Stegostoma tigrinum: one gene and its partners. The protein of the gene in region 1 binds, or shares a complex with, the protein of each later gene. Links are inferred from orthologs where the notes say so. Each region holds a gene or a part of one and is shown on either strand. Other genes may lie near its edges. The genes, in order: ubiquitin-conjugating enzyme E2 E2, det1 and rlim.

Region 1 (7,068 bases):
AATTCTGTGGACGCAGGAAACAGTGGAGCTCATGTTATTAAATATTTAAGGCCAAGTTACATAGTTTCTTGTTAGGCAAGCCAATAAATGTTTATTGAGAATAGATTAAGTATGGAATTTTAAACAAAGAGATCTCGTTCAATGGTGGAGCAGGTATGAGGGAGCAAATGGTCTACTTATGTTTCAATTTTGAATGTTTGTATGTTTGTAAAGAGAATTTTTTAATCAAACAAAAAAGTTGGAAAATATACAGCACCATTTCACTTTGACAAGGTAAAGTTTAATATGCTGCCAAGCTTTTCTCTTAGTCTTGGTTATGTGGTTGGGCATGGACTTTCGTTGGATTGGTTCAAATTTATGAGCAACGTATTGCAGCAATTGCTATTGCTCCCATCAAGATGGCTAATCAGGCAACTCTCCCACTTAGTTTGTCATCACACTTACAGCTAGTTCTCCTGTAACACGATAGTTGCATTTTTGTGCGGCCTCTTACTATAGAAAAATCAGCTTATAAGGAAATTGCGATACTGTACATTAGAAACCTCACATTATCCAAACAGTGTCCACTATTCCTCAATTGTGCTACACACTTTATAACAGAAATATCTGTATTGGAAGGATTTACAGAAAGACAATCAAGCAGATTGGCAAAGTTAGAAATGCACTTTCCATAGCCAGCAAATCCTGGTATGACTTAAAAGAGGAATATCTGGCCCAGAGGTAGAGACACAAGCCATTCCTAATGATGCCACACAACAAGTTGCTTTGAACTAAGAAAGCATGGCAACCATTTTGCACCTAGCCATGTTCAACAAGTAGTAATGAGATGGGTAACTAAGTAAGCAAATAACACATTACTTTTTTTGAAGCCATTTGTTGAGTAGATACTGCTGGTCAAAATATTTTCAGAACTCTGGGGCTTTCCTCAAATCTTTAATCTTAATCTTAGCCACTGAAATAGGCAGATAAAATCTTGAGTTTTACATGTCATTTGAAGACTGGGACCTTTAATAGTGTTGCGGTCTTGTAGTTTCATACAGACCAGAGGGTGTGTTTGGTGGATGAGGAAATATAGCCTGAGCACACAATCTTCAAGCAACATGAGGGTGCAACTGAACTAGGTCAGCAAGGTGAAATGTGCTCACTGTGAATCAATGGCCCATTTAAAACTACCTTCAAATTTAAACCCTTACAGAATCCAATAATTGTTTAGCTGCAGGAGTTTGGTACCAGTACAGGCACTGGTGCATGGTTAAGAGAGACTTGTGTTGGCAAAGTTTAACAGCAGAACCAAAAAAACACTAATTGTCAACCTGTAGGTCCATACTTCTATGGGGTAGCATTTGAACATGTGTTTACATTCCCATCACTAAATGTACCAAGCTGAGATAAAACTTTCACTGAAAACATTTGCCTTGCAGAGGAAATTCGATTCAAGAGAGATAAATGTCCACGCTTGCATCAGTCAAAAGAATAGAACAATAGCTCACTGGCTTCAGATCAGAAGAAAGCTATATTGTCTTGGTTCATTCTTCATCTAATTTTGCTAATAAAACATAATGGGATTCCTCCTAGGACAAACAACATGATCAGTTTCGAGTAAGTTGGTACCTTTTAGCACTAGTTGAAAGTTTAGCAGCAGTTTTACTGGAAATCTTGGCATCTTTTTTCTTGGGCTGTGGCTGTTCCCTCTCTTGTTCTTGAGGAGTACTTTCTCGCTGATCCCCATCTGAGCTGCCACTACTGGTACTGGGGCTGTCATCAGCCGTCTGCGGCTCACTGGACATCTTACTCGTTCTGGAATTTATAGCAAATATATTAATTGAGCAATACTTGAAGTTCAAGACAATCTTGTTTCAAATCATTAAAAGACACAATCCACTATCCCAACTTTTTAACCCATTTCACAAACGCTGAAACAGCTTCAAAAAACAAACGTAATTTCCAATACAGATTTGAAATCGACCGCAAGGTGTATCTAAGTTGTATCTAAAACATTCGCCGAATGTAAACATTGTTAGGTCAACATCATGTCTCTTCGTGTTTCAATTTCGACAACAGCATTGTTTTGTAACATTTATATTTTTTCCGACCAAGTATAAATCCCAACAGTTACACAAACAATACCAGCGAAGTATAAGTCGAACATTTCACAGCCACGTCAAATTGCGCTTGATGTGGTTAAATAGCAGACGGAAGGAGGTTTTAAACACCGACTGTATGTCATTTGGGGCGAAAGTGGGGGGGGGGGTCAGTTTGTCATTTGCAGAAAGTCGGATATGAGAAACTGCAAACCAGTGTGCAGTGACTGATGCTTTAAAGGCCTTGCTCGTTTCCAATATCTCCCTCACACACACAGAGAGGAATATCACACAAAAACAGCTAAACACCATCCACTCTCGACTCTAACTTTCAGGCCGGATTTGGAAACTGTCCAGTCGTTTAGAGGGGCCACTAAGTTCTATGGGGTAACGGGGAAAGAAGGAGGTGATTCTCATTTTTCTTCTTCTTCTTCCTAAAAATCTTATTACCTGAGCAGTGACTGGGGTGGGGGGGAATCGCTGTCTATGTCTTCGGGTTACGCTGAAAAATAAACAAGGAAGTAAGAAAGGAGTTGAAACAGACGGAAACCAAACGGGTTTGACTGGTGATGTTGGTGAGAAAGTGGAGGAGACACCAATCCCAAACACATGAGCAGAAGCCCCCTCTCCCCTATCTAGCTATCCGCTGCCGACGCCGCTTCTATCCTCGCTGGCGCGCGCGCACGGACTCGCTCGGTCTCCACGGAACCACATGCTCGCGCGCCCCAAAACTGAATCAGCGCTTTCGCCACCGCGCGCGCACACGCGCCTCACGAGTGCGCACACTCTCCCAGCCAGGAGCATCGCCGGGAAGGGGACACGCGGGGCGCGGCTGTGCGCGTGCTCCATTCAACCGTCGCATTCTGTCTTTGAGTGACGGCGCGAGGGCGGGCGGTTACACCTCGACTCCGCGCTGCTGATTCAGTGAGTGGGCAAGAGCCGTCTCCCTATTGATCCGTTAACAACTTCTTGATTCAGAATTCCCGCTGTCTTCCCTTTGGAGGTTCTCGGATCTTTCAGGATTAGTCCGGTGACCACCGCCCGCCAGCTGCCCTCCTGTTAGGGATCCTATTCCCAACCAAAAGGTGCAGATTTTGCATGTGACTCCCAGAGAAACAGCAGTTCGGTCCCTGTTCTAAAGTAGTTTGTTCTTCTGACTTTTTAAAAAAAAAATAGCAAAACGATTAATTAATTCTATGGTGCCAGGCTAACTGCTTATTTTCGACATGGGGTGTGAGAGTGAAGGGAAATGACTGGAATGGCTACATCCAGTAAACACGCTGAGTCCTTGCGTCAAATTTCTCAGACTACCGCGATCATCATCTCAATCCAACACTTACTCCAGAAACAGTCAGTGGGAGACTTGGCGCATCGCAGTCAATGATATACATGCTGCACTGAGCATCGTCAGATTTGATTCATTCTGGTGATGTTTAGGAGCTGTCAATTCAGGTTGCTAGCCTGATCTAAATGCAGGGACAATAATTACATAAATTGAACAAATTCTGAAACAAACATAAATGCTGAAATCTGTTTGGTGCGGTGGTTTCTGACATTGTCTGAAATTCAATCTGAGACAACAGTTGGAATTGTTCGAATAGGATGACAACGAACCAACCTATACCTAAGGGAATGTTAAATTTATTACGATCTTGTGATGGAATGTTAAAACTCTTTGTGAAAGGTCTTTTTAAAATGTAACTTTCCTTCATGTGTGTTAGAAATAAATACAACTTGTTTTGTTTAAGTATATTTATAGCCTCTCTTGTGAAAAAAGTCTTAAATTTATGAGAGTACCTATCTCATTTTTCAGAAATATCTCAGAGCACTTTACAGAGAATTAAATACTTTGGAGAGGAGCTATGTATAGCTAATTGACAGAACCATAAAATTATTTCTATGCAAAAGGAGCCCATTTGGCCAATTGTGCCTGCACAGGCTCTTCAATTGAGTACTACAAGAGATGAGGACTGTCTTTCTGTCTCAGATGGTTGTATGTCTTTGAAATTCTTCCTCAAAAAGCAGTGAAAGACTTTTAAAGAAAATGCCAGATAGATCCTTGGCAAGCAATGGAGTTTAAGGTTATTGGGAGTAGTTGGAAATGTGGATTTGAGGTTTCAATCAGAATAGCCACAACCTTATTAAATGCCTGTGCAGACTTTAGGGGACATGTGGCCCATTCCTGCTCTGAACCCATATGTTCTTATGTACTGATCTATTGAACTCTGAACTGAGCTCAATCCAATGTCTTCTGCCTCACCAAGATCACCTCCTCCTTCCATTTCTGTAAATTGTTCACTTTTATCCCTGTCTCAGCTCACCAGCTACTGCAACACTAATTTGTGCTTTTGTTACCTCCATGCTTGACTATTCCAATGCTATCTTGGATAGCCCACCATCTCCCATTTTCCACCATTATAAACTTCAACAGGAGTCTAAGTGGCTATTTCTTATAGAATAATAGACCTGAAAGTGCCAATACGTGTACAGCACAGATATTCAATTTCTAAACATCTCTTTCCTGCACTTTTACCTCTCTTCCGTCAAGTATCTATTTTTGGTTGCTTTCTGTTTCTTATACACACGCTGCCACTTAGAAAGAACATCTGAAAATGCAGTTTCAGTTTTCACATGTATACCCATGACACCCAGCTTACCACACCACTGCTCACCCAACTCCTCCACTGTCTCTAAATTATCAGTCCTCTTGTTTTCTGGATACAGTACTAGATGAACAGAAATTTCACCAATTAAATATTGGGCAGACTGAAGTATTCAATCCCTGCCCCAAATTTAATTCCATAACCACTGAATTTGTTTCTCTCACTGACAGTTACCTGAGACTGAAATAGACTGTTTGCAATCTTAGTGTCAAATTTCATTTTGAGATGAATCCTTGATGGCATAGCCATACTATCACTGAAACCACTTATTTCCATAACATTGTCCACCTCTGCCCCTAACTCATCTCATCTGTTGAGGATGCCCTCATTTAAAACTTTGTTACCTCTAGACTTGGCTATCCCAGATACACTTGACTGGCGTTGCCCATTCTATGTTCTTTAAACTTGAGGTCATTGTAAACTCTGTTGCTCAAATTCTAACTCACACCAAGTCCAGTTTAATCATCATTGCTGTACTAGCTGACCTGCATTGGCTACAGGTCTAGCAAGCCCTTATTTTTGAAATTCTCATTCTTGTTCTCAAATATACCTCCATGGCCTTGCTCATCCAAATCCCAATAATTTGCTCCAACCCTTCAATACTCTGCACTTCTCTAATTCAGCATCTTGAGCATTCCTAAGGTAATGGCTCCAGTATCGATGGTCTTAAGCTCTGAAATTTCTTTCCTCAACCTCACTTCTTTTATTAAAGATACGTCTTAAATCCTACCTTTTGATCTGGCTTTAGGGAATGGTGCCTAAAATTTCTTTATATGGCCGGTTCTCAAATTTTACCTTATAATGCTTCCGAGAAATGGCTTATACATTTTGTAATGTTAAAAGTGCTAGATTAAATCAGTATGTTGCTGTAGCTGTCTCCAACAAAGCTGCACTACAGATGTGAAGACAATTTGATGTTCAAAGGTGACTAAAAAGACAATCTGCTTTATTCAATACAGGGAACAATTTTTACCATTGACTAATTGGAGAAAAATATCTGGTCAATACAATTGTGTAAGATGGCTGGACTATCCCAGAGTTCAAAGTATCAGCAATCCGTTCATATAACCAGTTCAACTTCAGGCGCATAACATTGCTTCCTGTATCAATCAAATAAGATTTTGTTTTGGCAATACTTGGTTTTTATAAGGTCACCAGAGCAAACATGCATGGAATCATGTCCACTTTATCAAAACTCTCACAAGACCTTTATTTTAAGACACCCATCCATTAATTTACGAAAAAAGACAGAAAAATCCTTACAGGGTGTTTTGTCCATTAAGTCTCCCTTGTACATCACTGAACTCATATCTGCCCAACCTACCCAATGTTGAATAGGTATCAAATCTGGGAAAATTAAACAAAGTAGTTTTCAGATGTTGTATGTGACTCTGAACAAGTAAAAGGCTCTGAGTAATATTCATTCGGACGGTCAGTTGAGCTTCAGGAAATCACGGTGACCTTGACAATTGGCAAACCTTGAACATAGCACCAAACCTGTGCCGTACTTATTTAAAGAGAAAGAATGAAAGCTTGACTCTGAGAAAACATCTACAACCATGGCTTTTGACATCTTTTACCAAACAATAAGTACCATTCAGGTACAATGAAGTTTATCATTCAATTGTGTCAGCAATTGGTGACGTGGTTACCTCTGAATCAAAAGTTGGGTTCAAGATAAAATGAATACAAGTTGAATACAAAATGAAACAGCCCTCCAGTTCGGTACTGAGAGTATACTACATTATTGGAGATGTTGTACATCAGATCAGAATTTAAAATGATGCCCCATCTGTGCTGTCAGATCCTATGGCATATTTGAAGAAGAGCAGCGGATTTACCTCTGTTGTCCCAGCTAATATTTAGCCTTAAATCAATATTGGGAAAGCATATATTTCTACTTACTTGAACAATCAGTATCGGCAAACAAAGGAACATAAGCACAAAATGTTAGAAATCACATGTTCCCTTCAGGACAGGAATGCTGAGATAACAAGATGTAGAGCTGGATGAACACAGCAGGCCAAGCAGCATCAGAGGAGCAGGAAAGCTGACGTTTCGGGCCTGGACCGAAAGGTCTGAAGAAGGTTCCAGGCCTGAAACGTCAGCCATTCTGTTCCTCAGATGCTGCTTGGCCTGCTGTGTTCATCCAGCTCTACACCTTGTTATTTCAGATTCTCCAGCATCTGCAGTTCCTACTATCTCAGGAAAGGAATGCTCCTCAGCTACAGTTGGCTCCTTGCTCTGGGTATTCACATATGTTGGAGCAAATTCATTTGATCTGAAATCTAGCAGGCATCAGGTTCTCTTGTATCTTTCTGCTC
Region 2 (7,702 bases), on another chromosome or scaffold:
CATTAAGTCTAAACATGACCTTGTTATCACCCAATTCCGATTCACAAGCAACTTTAGGTAGCATGGTGGCTCAATGGTTAGCACTGCTGCCTCCCAGCAACAGGGACTCAGATTTGGCTCCAGCCTTGTGTGTGGAGTTTGTATATTCTCCCAGTGTCTGTGTGGATTTCCACCGGGTGGACCAGTTTCCAACCACAGTCCAAAGACGTGCAGGGTAGGTACATTGGCCGTGCTAAATTATCCCATAGTGATGTGCAGGCTAGGTGGATAGCTGTGATAAATACTGGTTTACAAGAATAGGGTGCAGCTTTGGGTCTGAGCAGGATGCTCTTCAGAGGGTTAGTGTAGACTTGATGGGCCAAATGACCTCCATCTGCACTATAGGGAATCTATGGACTTCGAACAGGAGGCATTCACTGAAGAGTGATTGTACAAACAGGCGAATTAGGACCACAAGAATGCTATTCAGCCCTTCAAACCTACTCCACCATTCAATAAGCCTGTGATTGATCTGACTGTACAACTCCATTTTCCCTGCTATCCCTTTGATAATCATTGACTCCCTTATTAGTGAATCTATCTACCTCTGCCTTTAAAATATTTGATGACACTGCCTGTAAGCAATGAGTATGCTGCTTGGTGACTATTCCCCTGACTGTGGCTGGTCATAGCTGTTGTCACTCATCATAGATTGGAGTGTGTTACATTCTGGATAACTAGATTCTGATTTAATTCATCCATAGCATGCTGTCAGAACTGTGTTCAGTACTGATCTTTGGTTGCTTTGAGAAGGTGGCACTTGACCTTCTTCTTGGATTGTTGTAGCTGTTGTAATGCTCCCACCATTGTGGCTGATGCTGTGAACTGCAAGACCTCGACCCAGGAGTGATGAGAGGGGGATGCTATTTATCCAAGACAGATTTATGTGTGACTTAATGGGGAACACTCAGCTGATGAACCTTTGTTGTTCACTCTTTGTGGTCAAGGTTGCAGGGCTGTAGGTGCTTTTGAAGTAGAAGGGGCATTGTTGAAAGGTATTCTATAGATTGCACACAGTGCTTCAAACAGAGGGTGGTGAGGCGAGCAGTTATAGTGATTTGTGTCTGGGTGGCATTAAGCTTTAATTTGAGTGATGTTGTATCTGCAGGATTCTAGGTGAGTGTCATATTTTATTACTCTGAATATGAGTCTTGAGGACCATTGTGAGGTTAGCCACTAGTTTCAGAGTACCTAGCCCTTGCTAGACTGTTGTGTCAAACACAGGAGTGAAACTATTACAATATATGCAATAGAGAGAGGGTAACACACAATCTCAAATGTATTACACACTGGTTAGAAATGTAACATCTCAGAAAACATAAATTTGACAGTATATTATGGAATAGTAATTTATAAATACGTGACAGACAGGATGAAATGTCTTTCGCAAAGCATGGAAATTATTACACTCTGGACAATATCTGGTTGGCACTGCACACCAATGATACGAGCTGAAGTGGACAGCACATAGGATAATGCACAGTGTATCCTTGTTTAATTCCCTAAAAGGACATGGGTGACAGAGGCTAGGCCGGCAATTACTGCCTGTCCTTAGTTGTGATTGAAAAGGTGGTGGCGAGCTGTCTTCTTGAACTGCTGCATTTTGACACAGCAACATGGAAGGATTGGAGATATATTTCCAAGTCAGGATGGTGATTGGCTTGGAGGGGAGTTTGCAGGTGGTCGTGTTCCCATTTGTCTGCTGCCCATGTCCTTCTAGAAGGAAGTGATTATGAGTTTTGAAGTTGTTGTCTTAACGATCTTTGGAGAATTTCTGCAGTGCATCTTGTAATACACACTGCTGCTACTGAGCATCAATGGTGGGTGAGTGATTGAATGTTTGTGGATGTGGTGTCAATCAAATTGGCTGCTTTGATCTGGATGGTATTGAGTTTCTTGAGTGTTGTTGCAGCAATCCAGGCAAGTGGGGAGTATTCCATCATACTCCTCACTTGTGCCTTGGAGATGTTGGACAAGCATTGGGGATTCAGGAGTAAAGTTACTTGCTACAGTATTCCTATCCTCTTACCTGTTCGTGTAACCATGTATGTACACAGTGATAATGGGAACTGCAGTTGCTCGAGAATCCAAGATAACAAAGTGTGGGCTGGATGAACACAGCAGGCCAAGCAGCATCTCAGGAGCACAAAAGCTGACGTTTCGGGCCTAGACCTCCGATGAAGGGTCTAGGTCTGAAATGTCAGCTTTTGTGCTCCTGAGATGCTGCTTAGCCTGCTGTGTTCATCCAGCTTCACACTTTATTATCTTATGTACACAGTGAGTTCAGTTGAGTTTCTGGTCAGCAATATAATGTTGAAAGTAAGGGATCATTGATGGTAACTCCATTTAATATAAAAGGTTGGTTGTTAGATTGTCTCTTACTGGAGGTGGTTATTCCCTGGCATTTGTGATACACAAATGACACTTGTCACTTTTCAGACCACGTTTGGATATTGTCCACTTCTTGGAGGATTTGAATGTAGACTACTTCAGTATCTAAGAAGTTGTGAATGGTGTTGAACTTCCCTGCTTCTAATCCTATGATGGAGGGAAGATCATTGTTGAAGTAGCTGAATGTGGTTGGGACTAGGACACTATCCTGAAGAACTTCTGCAGAGAGATGTCCTGGAGTTGAGATGACTGACCTTCAAATGCCACGGCCATCTTCCTATGTGCCAGGTAAGACTCCAAGCAGTGAAGTTTCCCCCTGATTCTCATTGGCTGCAATTTTATTAGGGCTCATTGATACAACATTTAGTCAAATGCAGTTTTGATCAAGGCTGCCATTTGCGTCTCATCCTCACCTGAATGCACACATGGTAATGCACAAGATGGAATAACATACAAGCTGCATTGTAGTACTTAGGATAACAGAATGATTAGAATGTGCAACACAAGAAGTATGTTATGGAATGATGTATGTTTCATGCCAGTTAACTCACAGAATTGGCAAGACATTGTGATGAAATCCATTTTGTTTATATCCATTTGTGTTGTGTGGGCTAATGGCCCAATGAACTGCTCCATAGGCATGTGATGTTCCAATGCTTGCTGCATTCAGTCTTACTCAGGAACAAAGCTGGGGCTCAGTGTTTCATGAGGTCACTCAAAACAGTTCAATGTTTACACAGCAGGCAGTTTTTAATTAGTTATGTGGAGGCAGGTGAAGCAGAAGGTTGCTACCTTTGGGCTGCAGTTCAGTAAGGTAGAGAGGGGCAGAGGAAGAGGGCCCACAGCAAAAATGAGGCTGCTGTAGTAGGATCCAGAAAGATAGGGCTCAGAGAACCTTGGAGCCAGTAGATGTAATAAAGAAATAGTAGAAACTGCCGATGCCGGAGAATCTGAGATAACATGGTGTGAAGCTGGATGAACACAGCAAGCTAAAGAGTTGGGATTAGGGCTCAGATGCAGTTGTGGGAACCATCAGAGCAATGGGGCCTTGGAGGAAGTCAAGAAATCATTGCTAGTTCAGTGAACTTAAGTATGCACTGAAGGTGGGCCACAGGTGGTATTTGTTTGATAGAGCTAAAGTAATATTTGAGCTTTAAGTAACTGGGGACAATTCTAAACTTAGCAAAACTGGCTGTGTGTGAATAGTTATAAATACACCTGTGTGTAGGTATTGGAGGGCAATCTCCAGAATCCAGTGGAACAGGATATTGGGGAAAGAGATTAAAATGCCTGGCTTTAAGGAGTCATTGAGGGCAGTCAATGACAAAGCAAGATATTCCAGAGTAAGAACTGGAATTCCTTGTCAGGGAGACAATGTTTTAATGAGATTTGCTGATCTACAATGTCACTAACACCTAGGGGATTGCTGAGAAATCTGTGGGCTTCATGTGTTGCTTAAATCTTTGAGACATCTTACCCTTTATGGGTAATCTGAGGCAAACAAGGCACTTCTCAGATCTACAAGTAACTACTTTAGGACTTTTCATGAGTTTGCATGATAGACAGCAAGAAATAGTCTGATCCTGCCAACAAACAGTATGACTTTGATCCACACAATTTCAGCATCAAGTTTGGACTTTGATGATTGGCTCAGGCCCCATTTACAAGGTTTCTGATAAAACCAATCTTATAGTACATGGAACTGTGAGATTGCAACATGTGCATTGACCAGTGGAGGCAGGCTTTCAGTCAATTGTAGTAGAGAAGGCCCCAGCTGGTTGTCCCTTTGAATTGGTATTCATGCAAATTGTCCTGATGTGTGCAAAATGAAAACTGTGGCAATATGTGTTCTTTTCAACAATAACAAATATTTATTAACTACTTACTCTATTTGCAGAGACAAAGTTGGGCAGGATTCATTAGAACTTACTTCCCTCAGGTCGTAATTTGTCATTATTTGACTTTGCCAATGATGTACTGTGGCTATTCGCACAACATTGTACCCTAACCTAGGTCAGTGTTTCGGGTGAGGAAAGGGTAAAAGTGGGGTAAGGGTGAAAAATTAGACATATTGTTGATTTCGTTGATTTACTCTGGCTCCAACGGATTGGTGACAACAGAAAAATGGAGAGAGAGAGGCTGGAGCGCCCTCTAAAGGCAGAACGTGGAAAGTGCAGGGTGAAAGTCCCTTGTCTTCTTTGGGGGGGCGCTGCGGATGCGCGGTGCATTGTAGGATAGGCTGCCCGGAGCTGGATGACTCTCTCTAGGGGCTGCCGCGCTGTACTTTGGAGTTGGTGAGGAGCTGGGCGGTGAACGGGATCTCTGGCCTGGCTATTGTACCGTGTGGATGAGGTGAGTGTGGTAGGCCCCGAGGAGAGAGTGAGGGAGTGCCCTGATAGTAGACATTCGGCTGTGGGACACATCAGCCCAGGGTCACTGTTTGGGAGCGCCAAGGACGGGAGCTGGCCTTGTATGAGCTTCTTTGATTGTCTGGTGGTTGTCCTCTTTCTGTGCAGAACGGTTAACAATTAATCTGTAAGTTTGTTTCATTAGTTTGACAGCCAAAGCCTGCATGTATCTGCCCATTTCTTCATGAATCACGTTCTCAAAGTGTTAAAATTGAAGATTGCTGCTCATTTGTAGGGATTAAAAAAGGGGTGAAGTAGTTGTAGGGTCCCTACCTCCGAGCTAGGAGGCCCGGATTCAAGCCCAGTCTGCCCCAGTGATGTTTCAGAACACATCTGAACAGGTTCATTAGAAAATATCTATATTTTCTTTTTCAAGCTTATTGACTAACTGGCAAGAGAGGTCCATGTATTTGGTGCACCATTTTTCTCATGCTCACATCAACAGAACTGGTTGCGAATATCTACCCAAAAGGCCATTCACATGCTCACTTCAGCATTCTGTAGGTAAGATTACATTTGACTTTTCTGCCAAATGTAGAGTTGTAGCACGTCAGGATCTCTTGAGCAGCAGTTAAATTCCTTTTTTTGAGAACGTATGGTGGGATTGAAAAAAGAAAAGATTAGAAAAGAATCCACTGAAAGGAAATCTGGGATTCAAATTGGGTAATCACACATAGGCTGAGAAGGTTCGCTTGGGGTGATTGGACATCATTCAAGATTATTGAAAATAAGAGTAGTAGCCACAGACCGGAAGGTGGCTAATATAGTGTTGGCTTGGGAAAAATCCTTTAAATTTGTTTAGTGTAGGAGACACAGCTATTGTTATATTCTTAATCAAACCTTTGTATCCTTAGAGGCTGCTTCTTGATATGGTAAGAAGGATTTTTAGAAGTAAAACTGCGCCATTCATACAAGCCAGGCATTGGTCTTTATATGATGTGATTCAGTGTAATGACTGTGAGAATTGACAGTACGTTGGATGTAAGGCAAAAGCAACACAATGGAATGGAAGAAATAGGTTGTTTTAAAGGATATTTTAACTTCATGCCACCACTAGTGTTGGACTTTACCCCCAGTACTCATGTATTGCACTGTTCAAAATGCTTTCTTTGGATCAGCCTGTGTTTAGGAGGACATAATTCGTAATGGTCTGTTTTTTTAAAATTTCCACTAGGTAAAGAACAAAATTTCAAACCTGCATATGTAGCAATTTATTAACTGCTGGACCATCATAAATGGTTGCAGTACAAAGGAGGCCATTGTGTCCATATTTGCAAGAGCATTTCAGCTAGTCTTATGCCTTTTTGTCCCCCCTGTAGCCTTGCAATTTTTTTTTAACAGATAGTTATCCAATGCCCTTTTGAAATTTATAGTTGAATCTGTGTCCATCATACCCTTAGATTGTACTTCCCAGATCTGAGCCACTCACCGCTTTAAAAAAAAGTTTATCTTTGGTTCTTTCGCCAGTCACTTCAAATCGATGTTCTGTGGATCTTGATCCTTTTGGATATGGGGACAGTTTGTCATCATTGTTCTGTCTCGATCACTCATGTTCTTAAACATCTCCATCAAATCTCCTCTCAACTTTCTCTAAAGGCTATAGTCCTGCTCCTGTAATCTATCCTCATTACTGCAGAGCCTCATCCCTGGAACAACACCTTTCCTGTGCCCTCTCTAATGCATCAAGCAAAAGGTAGACAAGTACTCATTGGATAAATAACAGACAATGATTCAGAGAGAATCCTGCTTATTTATATTTTCTTTCTGATATTCTGATTACTGACTAGATGACAGACTCTGCTTTTCAGTATTCCGTTTACTGGTGTAGATACAACATATGGTTCTGAAGAAGGTCGCTGGACTTGAAACGTTAATTTTGCTTCTCTTTACAGATGCTGCCAGACTTGCTGAGTTTCTCCAGCAATTTCTGTTTTTTTTTCAGATTTCCAGCATTCGCAGTTCTTTGTTTTACAAGATGTGGTGATGGCTGAGAATGGATGATGATGAACCCACCATCAAACCTCGTCGCATCGAGAATCAGAATGTTGTTTACCGCCTGGAGCGCCGGAGGATCTATTCCGGCAGGCCTGGAGCTCACTGGTACATGGTGCGTTGCCTGCATCAGAATGTGTTTCCCAACTTCACTGTGGTTAACGTAGAAAAGCCGCCGTGTTTCCTGCGTAAGTTCTCTCCTGATGGCCGCTATTTCATTGCATTTTCCCTGGACCAAACCTCATTGGAGATCTATGAATACCAGGGCTGTCAGGCAGCTGAGGACCTCCTTCAGGGCTACGATGGGGAGATCATGCTGAATGGTGCCAATGATCTGCAGTCTGTCAACATCCGCGGCAAATTGTTTGAGCGCTTCTTTGTCCTGCTGCACGTCACTAGCGTAGCGTCGAATGGGGAGCACCTGAATCGTGAGTGCAGTTTGTTTACTGATGATTGCCGGTATGTCATTGTTGGCTCTGCTGCTTATCTCCCTGAGGAGCCTCATCCTCTCTTCTTTGACGTTTACCGAAACAATGAGTCTGTTACACCAAACCCTCGCTCACCGTTAGAAGATTACTCTCTGCACATCATTGACCTGCACACAGGGAGTCTTTGTGACACGAGGACCTTTAAGTGCGACAAGGTCATTCTCTCGCACAACCAAGGGCTCTACCTGTATAAGAATATCTTGGCTATCCTCTCTGTGCAGCATCAGACCATTCATGTGTTCCAAGTTACCCCAGAAGGAACTTTCATCGATGTTCGAACCATTGGGCGCTTCTGTTATGAAGATGACCTCCTCACTGTTTCAGCCGTGTATCCTGAAGTGCAGGGTGACACGCAAAATGCCCCGTCACGCCCTTTTAAGGAGA
Region 3 (7,733 bases), on another chromosome or scaffold:
AGAAATGGTGGAGGAACCTAATAGGTACTTTGCATGAGTCTTCGTGGTGACATATCAGAACTTCAAGGGGGCAGAGTGAATGTTGTGGTCATCTCTAAAGAGAGAGTGTTGGGAAAGCTGAAATAGCTGCAGATGCATAAAACACCTGCACCGGATGGACTGTTTACCAGAGTTCTGACGGAGATAGCTAAAGCAATCGTGGAAACATTGGTGGTGATCTTTCAGGAATCACTGGAGTCAGGGAAGGTCCCAGAGGACAAGAAAATGGCTAATGTAATACTCCTGTTTAAGATAGGAGGGAGGCAGAAGATGAGAGATGACAGACTGGTTACCTGAACTTTGTTGTTGGTCGGAAATTAAAGTCTGCTAATAAGGATAAGATTGCAGAGTACTTGTAAGTGCATGATAAAATAGGGCTGAGTCAGCATGGCATCTTGAAGGGGAGGTCACACCTGACAAATTTTGTTAAAAGTCTTTGAGGAGGTAACAAGCAAATTATACAAAGGAACAGGAGTGGATACGATCTGTTTGGATTTCCAGAAGGTTTTTGATAAGGTGCTGCACGGGAGTTTAGAAGGATGTGGAAAGGGGGTGGAGTTTCTCATTGAAACTTAAGAGGCCTGAGTACAGTGGACGTGGAGAAGAATTTTCCACTAGTAGGAGAGACTAGGGCCTGAGGGCACCGCTTCACCACGACCCTTTAGAACTGAGAAATTTTTTTAGCCAGAATGTGGTGAATCTGTGGAATTCATTGCTATAGAGTGCTGTGGAGGCCAATTCATTGAGTGTATTTAAAGAGGTAGATAGGTTCTTGATTGGTAGTGGGGTCAATGGTTAAGAGGAGAAGGCAAAAGAATGCAGTTGAGAAATATATATTTTTGAATATGCAATGAACAGGATTAATGAAGGCAAAGTGGTGGACATGATCCATATGGACTTCAGTAAGGCGTTCGAGAAGGTTCCACATGGTAGACTGGTTAGCAAGGTTAGCTCACATGGAATATAGAACTAGCCAATTGGATACAGAGTTTACTTAAAGATAGGAGACAGAGTGTGGTGGTGGAGGGTTTTTTCTTGGACTAGAGGCCTTTGACCAGCGGTATGCCTCAAACATCGGTATTGGGTCCACTGCTTATTCATCATTTATATAAATGATTTGGATGTGAACATAGGGTTATGGTTAGTAATTTTACAGACGACAACTAAATTCGGTGGTGTTGTGGACAGCCGGGAAGGTTACCTCAAAGTACAATGGGATCTTGATAAGATGGGCTGGTGGGCTGAGGTGTTGCAGACAGAGTTTAATTTAAATAAATGTGAGGTATTGCATTTTGGAAAGGCAAGTCAAGGCAGCACTTATATACTTCATGGTATTGTTGCTGAGAGTGTTGCTGAACAATGAGACCTTGGAGAGAGATAATGGGAACTGAAGATGCTGGAGAATCCAAGATAATAAAGTGTGAAGCTGGATGAACACAGCAGGCCAAGCAGCATCTCAGGAGCACAAAAGCTGACGTTTCGGGCCTAGACCCTTCATCAGAGAGGGGGATGGGGTGAGGGTTCTGGAATAAATAGGGAGAGAGGGGGAAGCAGACCAAGGATGGAGAGAAAAGAGGATAGGTGGAGAGGAGAGTATAGGTGGGGAGGTGGGGAGGGGATAGTTCAGTCCAGGGAAGACGGACAGGTCAAGGAGATGGGATGAGGTTAGTAGGTAGGAGATGGAGGTGCGGCTTGGGGTGGGAGGAAAGGATGGGTGAGAGGAAGAACAGGTTAGGGAGGCAGAGACAGGCTGGACTGGTTTTGGGATGCAGTGGGTGGAGGGGAAGAGCTGGGCTGGTCGTGTGGTGCAGTGGGGGGGAGGGGACGAACTGGGCTGGTTTTGGGATGCGGAGGGGGAAGGGGAGATTTTGAAGCTGGTGAAGTCCACATTGATACCATTGGGCTGCAGGGTGCCCAAGCCGAATATGAGTTGCTGTTCCTGCAACCTTCGTGTGGCATCATTGTGGCACTGCAGGAGGCTCATGATGGACATGTCATCTAAAGAATGGGAGGGGGAGTGGAAATGGTTTGCGACTGGGAGGTGCAGTTGTTTATTGCGAACCGAGTGGAGGTGTTCTGCAAAGCCGTCCCCAAGCCTCCGCTTGGTTTCCCCAATGTACAGGAAGACACACCGGGTACAATGGATGCAGTATACCACATTGGCAGATGTGCAGGTGAACCTCTGCTTAATATGGAAAGTCATCTTGGGTCCAAAACCAGCCCAGTTCGTCCCCTCCCCCGACTGCACCACACAACCAGCCCAGCTCTTCCCCTCCACCCACTGCATCCCAAAACCAGTCCAACCTGTCTCTGCCTCCCTAACCTGTTCTTCCTCTCACCCATCCCTTCCTCCCACCCCAAGCCGCACCTCCATCTCCTACCTAATAACCTCATCCCACCTCCTTGACCTGTCTGTCTTCCCTGGACTGACCTATCCCCTCCCCACCTCCCCACCTCCCCACCTATACTCTCCTCTCCACCTACCTTCTTTTCTCTCCATCTTCGGTCCGCCTCCCCCTCTCTCCCTATTTATTCCAGAACCTTCACCCCATCCCCCTCTCTGATGAAGGGCCTAGGCCCGAAACGTCAGCTTTTGTGCTCCTGAGATGCTGCCTGGCCTGTTGTGTTTGTCTAGCTTCACACTTTATTACAATGAGACCTTGGAGTACAGGTTCATAGTTCTTTGGAAGTAGAGTCACAGATAGGTAGCGTAGTGAAGGAGGTGTATAGTGTGCTTCCCTTTCTTGGTCAGTGCAACGGGACTTGGGAGGTCATGTTCTGGTTGGTTGGATATTGGTTCGGCCACTTTTGGAAACCTGCATGCATTTCTGACCTCCCTATTACTGGAAGGATGTTGTGAAACTTGAAAGGGTTCAGAAAAGATTTATGAGGATGTTGCCAGGGTTGGAGGGCTTGAGCTATAGGGAGAGACTGAATAGGCTGGGGCTATTTTCCCTGGAGCATTGGAGGCTGAGAGGTAACCTCATAGAAGTTTATAAAATTATGACGGCCATGGACAAGGGGGATAGACAGGTCTTTTTCCTGGGGTAGTGCAGTCCAAACTAGAGGCATAAGTTTGAGGTGAGAGGGGAAAGATTTAAAAGGTACCTAAGGGGCAAATTTTTCACACAGAGGATGGTGCATGTATGGAATGGGATGCCAGAGGAAGTGGTAGAGCTTGGTCCAATTACAACATTTAAAAGGCATCTGGATGGGTAAATGAATAGGAAAGATTTAGAGGGATACAGGCCAAATGCTGGGAAATGTCTCCAAATTAATTTAAGATATCTGGTTTGCAAGGATGATTTGGACTGAAGGGTCTGTTTCCATGCTGTACAGCTCTGTGACTCAATAAACATGATCGAATGGTGAGCAGACTCAGTAGACCAGAAGGCCTGATACCGCTCCTATATCTTATGGTACTAATATATAGTTAATTCCTCACTTGCTTAATCAAGTCATAATTATTGAAAACTAACTCAAGTCTACATGGGTTGCAGATAATTGTGGTTGAGCATATCACGTAACAGCTACAATCAGATTGTGCAGATTCTCAGCAATTTACCCCCTCCCAGTCAAGGCTAGTGACACCGAAGAACACCAAATCTCATTAAAATTTGGAATCTGCATTCTCGCACTTGCTGTCAGGATCAATTGCAACTTTTCACAGATAGCTTCACCAAGTTAGCATTTTGACTGAAATTTTTTGACTTTTAAGTTTGCTCAGCTGTGCAAAGCAAATACTATTTCTGGGATTTTCAACCACCATCTTCAGCTACAGTGAGGTATTAATTGACTGCAACTTTATTCTGAGGTCCTCAGTTTCCAGACATTCCAGAGCACTGACTCTAACATTGTGCTGCTCAGAATTATCCAATGTTCTGCTAGACTTTTCTCTGAGCTTCACAATACAGAAAGAGCAGTGTTCTCAACATTAGATTTCTCATGGAGCCTGCTTTTGGCTCCCTTACTCACTCTCCAACCACATATAACTCTTGAATTCTTGAAATCTATGAAATATTCTGAGCGACTCATTGCAACAAGCCTGATCTTGTTCCTTGGCAGGACTGAATTTTAAATAGGGGAACTCAAATGAAGAAAGTGCTTGGACCTGTCTATTCCCTCGATGTTCACAACCTGCTGGGGTACACTGGGAATAACAGGGCTCTTATGCCAGCAGACCTGGGTTTACACCCCACCTGCTCCAGAAGTATGTCTCTGACCAAGTAGAATAGAAAATATTTGTACAAAAGAGAGGATTTCATCACATTCTCTCCACATCTGCTGTCTGGCCTTTATTTATTATTATTATTAATTCACAAGATGAGCACATCACCGGCTGGTCCAACATTTATTGTCTATCCCTAAATGCCCAGGGGGCAGTTAAGAGTCAACCACCTTATTGTTGCTGAGAAATTCCTGGTACTTATTTTGTGTATATTTAAACATCTGCTTTAATATGACAGTAAATATAATCGAATGCATAGGGATATGAACTGCAGTTCTTTTAAAGTAAAAAAAAACTGCTTTGATTCATGCTTTCTTGCAGAGGCGATGATGTCGTGCCCGGAATCTTTCTCCAGGAGTTGAGCCGTTGTGCGGGCTGGTGGGATGGTTTTGGGTAGCGGTTCCCACCTGCCGGGGGGATGACAGAAGCGGCGGGACACTGCGCTGGTTTCCTGTTTCCGCTTGTCTCTCCCACTCTAACAATGGTGGTAACGGTGTGAGCGGCCCGACCCGAACGGATCGAACTCGACGTGAGCAGGTGAGGGCGCCCGGGGCCGGAGGGCTCTCACGGCCGGTGCTGGCAGATCGCGGTTGGCGGCGCCTATTGATTTCTTCTCGCCCTTCTCTGTCCTCCCTGTCGCCGGTCGCGCACACCCTGCTGCGTACGGCAGCTTGTGAACAGGCCGATGGGGAACCGGCGCCGGGGAAAGGCCCAGGCTCTGCGGCCTAATCTCAGCCATGGCGGGGCGTGGATAAGACGGCCGGGGATTCCGTGAGGGTTTAACCACCCCATCTCCCATGTTTTTTCCCCTAAACTCCGGGCTGCTTATTCTTCCCGCCGGTTTACAAAACCAATCCCTCCTTTTTTTAAAAAAAAGTCGGCGTCTTTTGAAACAGTCCCCTTCTCAGCGCAATTACTTCAGATAAAATCACCAGGTGTTTCCATATTTTTAAAGCCTGATTGCTCCCGGTTTGTTTTCTTTTTGGTTGGGCCACTTTGTCTTTTTTGTTTGTCTTGATGAAATTATTCGGAGCTAATTTACTATTTTCTCCTGTGTCACTGCCTACCCTTGGAGCTATGGGAGGGAATGCTGGAGGGAAGGATGAGTGTTTTTTTAATGCTAATACGGTTCGTCAACAGGTTCAGTTTCCTGTCTTAGTGCGAATTTATTTTTGTGTTCTCCTTTTGCCCCCTCACTGTCGCCTTGGTAATAATCACCGATTGATCTACAATAGAAGTCTGGCGCATTACGATCTTTGTGATTGCGTAACTGGCTTTATGTAGGTCAATAGTGCAATATAGCAGAAGATAGAAATACACTGGTGCTTTGAAACAAAAAAATGATGCTTTTGAGCGAAGTCTTGAAGCTTCCTTCTTTCTCAGGTTGGTGTATGTTTGGACTTAAGTGGGATATTAATGGTGACGATAGCGTAAAACAGGCATTCATTGCTTTTGTGATAATGGGAACTGCAGATGCTGGAGAATCCGAGATAATAAAATGTGAGGCTGGATGAACACAGCAGGCTCAGGAGCACAAAAGCTGACGTTTCGGGCCTAGACCCTTCATCAGAGAGGGGGATGGGGTGAGGGTTCTGGAATTAATAGGGAGAGAGGGGGAGGCGGACCAAAGATGGAGAGAAAAGAAGATAGGTGGAGAGGAGAGTACAGGTGGGGAGGTAGGGAGGGGATAGGTCAGTCCAGGGAAGACGGACAGGTCAAGGAGGTGGGATGAGGTTAGTAGGTAGGAGATGGAGGTGCGGCTTGGGGTGGGAGGAAGGGATGGGTGAGAGGAAGAACAGGTTAGGGAGGCAGAGACAGGTTGGACTGGTTTTGGGATGCAGTGGGTGGAGGGGAAGAGCTGGGCTGGTCGTGTGGTGCAGTGGGGGGAAGGGGACGAACTGGGCTGGTTTTGGGATGCGGTGGGGGAAGGGGAGATTTTGAAGCTGGTGAAGTCCACATTGATACCATTGAGCTGCAGGGTTCCCAAGCCGAATATGAGTTGCTGTTCCTGCAACCTTCGGGGGGCATCATTGTGGCACTGCAGGAGGCCCATGATGGACATGTCATCTAAAGAATGGGAGGGGGAGTGGAAATGGTTTGCCACTGGGAGGTGCAGTTGTTTATTGCGAACCGAGCGGAGGTGTTCTGCAAAGCGGTCCCCAAGCCTCCGCTTGGGGACCACTTTGCAGAACACCTCCGCTCGGTTCGCAATAAACAACTGCACCTCCCAGTGGCAAACCATTTCCACTCCCCCTCCCATTCTTTAGATGACATGTCCATCATGGGCCTCCTGCAGTGCCACAATGATGCCCCCCGAAGGTTGCAGGAACAGCAACTCATATTCGGCTTGGGAACCCTGCAGCTCAATGGTATCAATGTGGACTTCACCAGCTTCAAAATCTCCCCTTCCCCCACCGCATCCCAAAACCAGCCCAGTTCGTCCCCTTCCCCCCACTGCACCACACGACCAGCCCAGCTCTTCCCCTCCACCCACTGCATCCCAAAACCAGTCCAACCTGTCTCTGCCTCCCTAACCTGTTCTTCCTCTCACCCATCCCTTCCTCCCACCCCAAGCCGCACCTCCATCTCCTACCTACTAACCTCATCCCACCTCCTTGACCTGTCCGTCTTCCCTGGACTGACCTATCCCCTCCCTACCTCCCCACCTGTACTCTCCTCTCCACCTATCTTCTTTTCTCTCCATCTTTGGTCCGCCTCCCCCTCTCTCCCTATTAATTCCAGAACCCTCACCCCATCCCCCTCTCTGATGAAGGGTCTAGGCCCGAAACGTCAGCTTTTGTGCTCCTGAGATGCTGCTTGGCCTGCTGTGTTCATCCAGCCTCACATTTTATTCATTGCTTTTGGTGTGGTTTACTTTGCAATATAATTAAGTGAGAATATGTCTGATGTTTGTAAAATGAAAACTTCATGTGAACAAATTGTTCTGTTTTGTTGACTTTTTTTCCCTCAAGCTTGAGGGTACACTAAACAGAGAGCTAAGATTGCTATATGCAAGAAACGTGGAATTTGGGCATGTGCTGTGGAGTAATTCAAACTTTCTGACTGGTTGCCTTTGAATTTATCTCAACTTTGATTTTAAAAAATCAAACTGTATCTCCCTCTTACACATACTCTTTGTTACAGGGATAATAAAGATTTTTGTCGATTTTTCAGTTGCCATTTCTTCCATCACAGTTCAGTGATTATTAACATTTATAAGTTACATCATTAACAGTGATGGCAGACTTGCGCATTGGGTGATGAATGTACAGTACTAAGAATTCTTTATTTAGAATAGATGTAAATTTATAGTTTTTAATTCCATCTGGGTGTGAGGTATATTGATTTCCTTGTACTTGATCAAAACGTGACCAGTGATTTTTATTGTTCTCAATAATTATCTTTACAAATTTAACAATCTTGTTTTCTGTATGTTTTTCAGTACCCTCCAATAACGCTGCACAGT

What was found.
Region 2: the proteins of ubiquitin-conjugating enzyme E2 E2 (region 1) and det1 are in contact, whole or in part, in a cryo-EM structure (PDB 9BJZ), measured with the Homo sapiens proteins. The link is inferred for Stegostoma tigrinum from reciprocal best matches to the Homo sapiens genes UBE2E2 and DET1. Residues at the interface, in NP_001357154.1 of Homo sapiens: Ala77, Gly78, Pro79, Lys80, Gly81, Arg88, Ser89, Thr90, Gly101, Val103, Phe105, Phe123, Arg124, Thr125, Arg126, Ser134, Gln135, Gly136, Gln194, Trp195, Arg198, Tyr199, Ala200, Thr201; in NP_001137546.1 of Homo sapiens: Arg258, Phe259, Tyr261, Asp264, Thr267, Val268, Phe272, Glu274, Asp289, Pro290, Phe291, Ile292, His297, Arg298, Leu300, Val301, Trp304, Arg305, Phe319, Phe320, Gln321, Phe323, Asp324, Arg327.
Region 3: the proteins of ubiquitin-conjugating enzyme E2 E2 (region 1) and rlim are in contact, whole or in part, in a crystal structure (PDB 6W9A), measured with the Homo sapiens proteins. The link is inferred for Stegostoma tigrinum from reciprocal best matches to the Homo sapiens genes UBE2E2 and RLIM. Residues at the interface, in NP_001357154.1 of Homo sapiens: Lys52, Thr55, Lys58, Arg59, Lys62, Pro112, Asp113, Pro115, Phe116, Ile142, Asn146, Trp147, Ser148, Pro149, Ala150, Leu151, Thr152; in NP_057204.2 of Homo sapiens: Ser571, Val572, Cys573, Ile574, Thr575, Cys596, Arg599, Trp600, Pro608, Ile609, Arg611.

The regions. Positions count from the first base shown.
Region 1 is NC_081355.1:65,292,603-65,299,670, forward strand, and holds the start of ubiquitin-conjugating enzyme E2 E2, read right to left. Parts: upstream 3,069-7,068; 5' UTR 2,983-3,068; intron 2,788-2,982; exon of another isoform or gene 2,584-2,787; 5' UTR 2,532-2,583; intron 1,798-2,531; 5' UTR 1,788-1,797; coding exon 1,612-1,787; intron 1-1,611.
Region 2 is NC_081386.1:24,626,293-24,633,994, reverse strand, and holds the start of det1 (DET1 homolog), read left to right. Parts: upstream 1-4,671; 5' UTR 4,672-4,782; intron 4,783-5,214; 5' UTR 5,215-5,338; exon of another isoform or gene 5,339-5,342; intron 5,343-6,730; exon of another isoform or gene 6,731-6,780; 5' UTR 6,781-6,831; coding exon 6,832-7,702. UniProt on the Homo sapiens protein: Component of the E3 ubiquitin ligase DCX DET1-COP1 complex, which is required for ubiquitination and subsequent degradation of target proteins. The complex is involved in JUN ubiquitination and degradation.
Region 3 is NC_081368.1:21,549,848-21,557,580, reverse strand, and holds the start of rlim (E3 ubiquitin-protein ligase RLIM), read left to right. Parts: upstream 1-4,683; 5' UTR 4,684-4,804; intron 4,805-7,709; exon of another isoform or gene 7,710-7,733. UniProt on the Homo sapiens protein: E3 ubiquitin-protein ligase.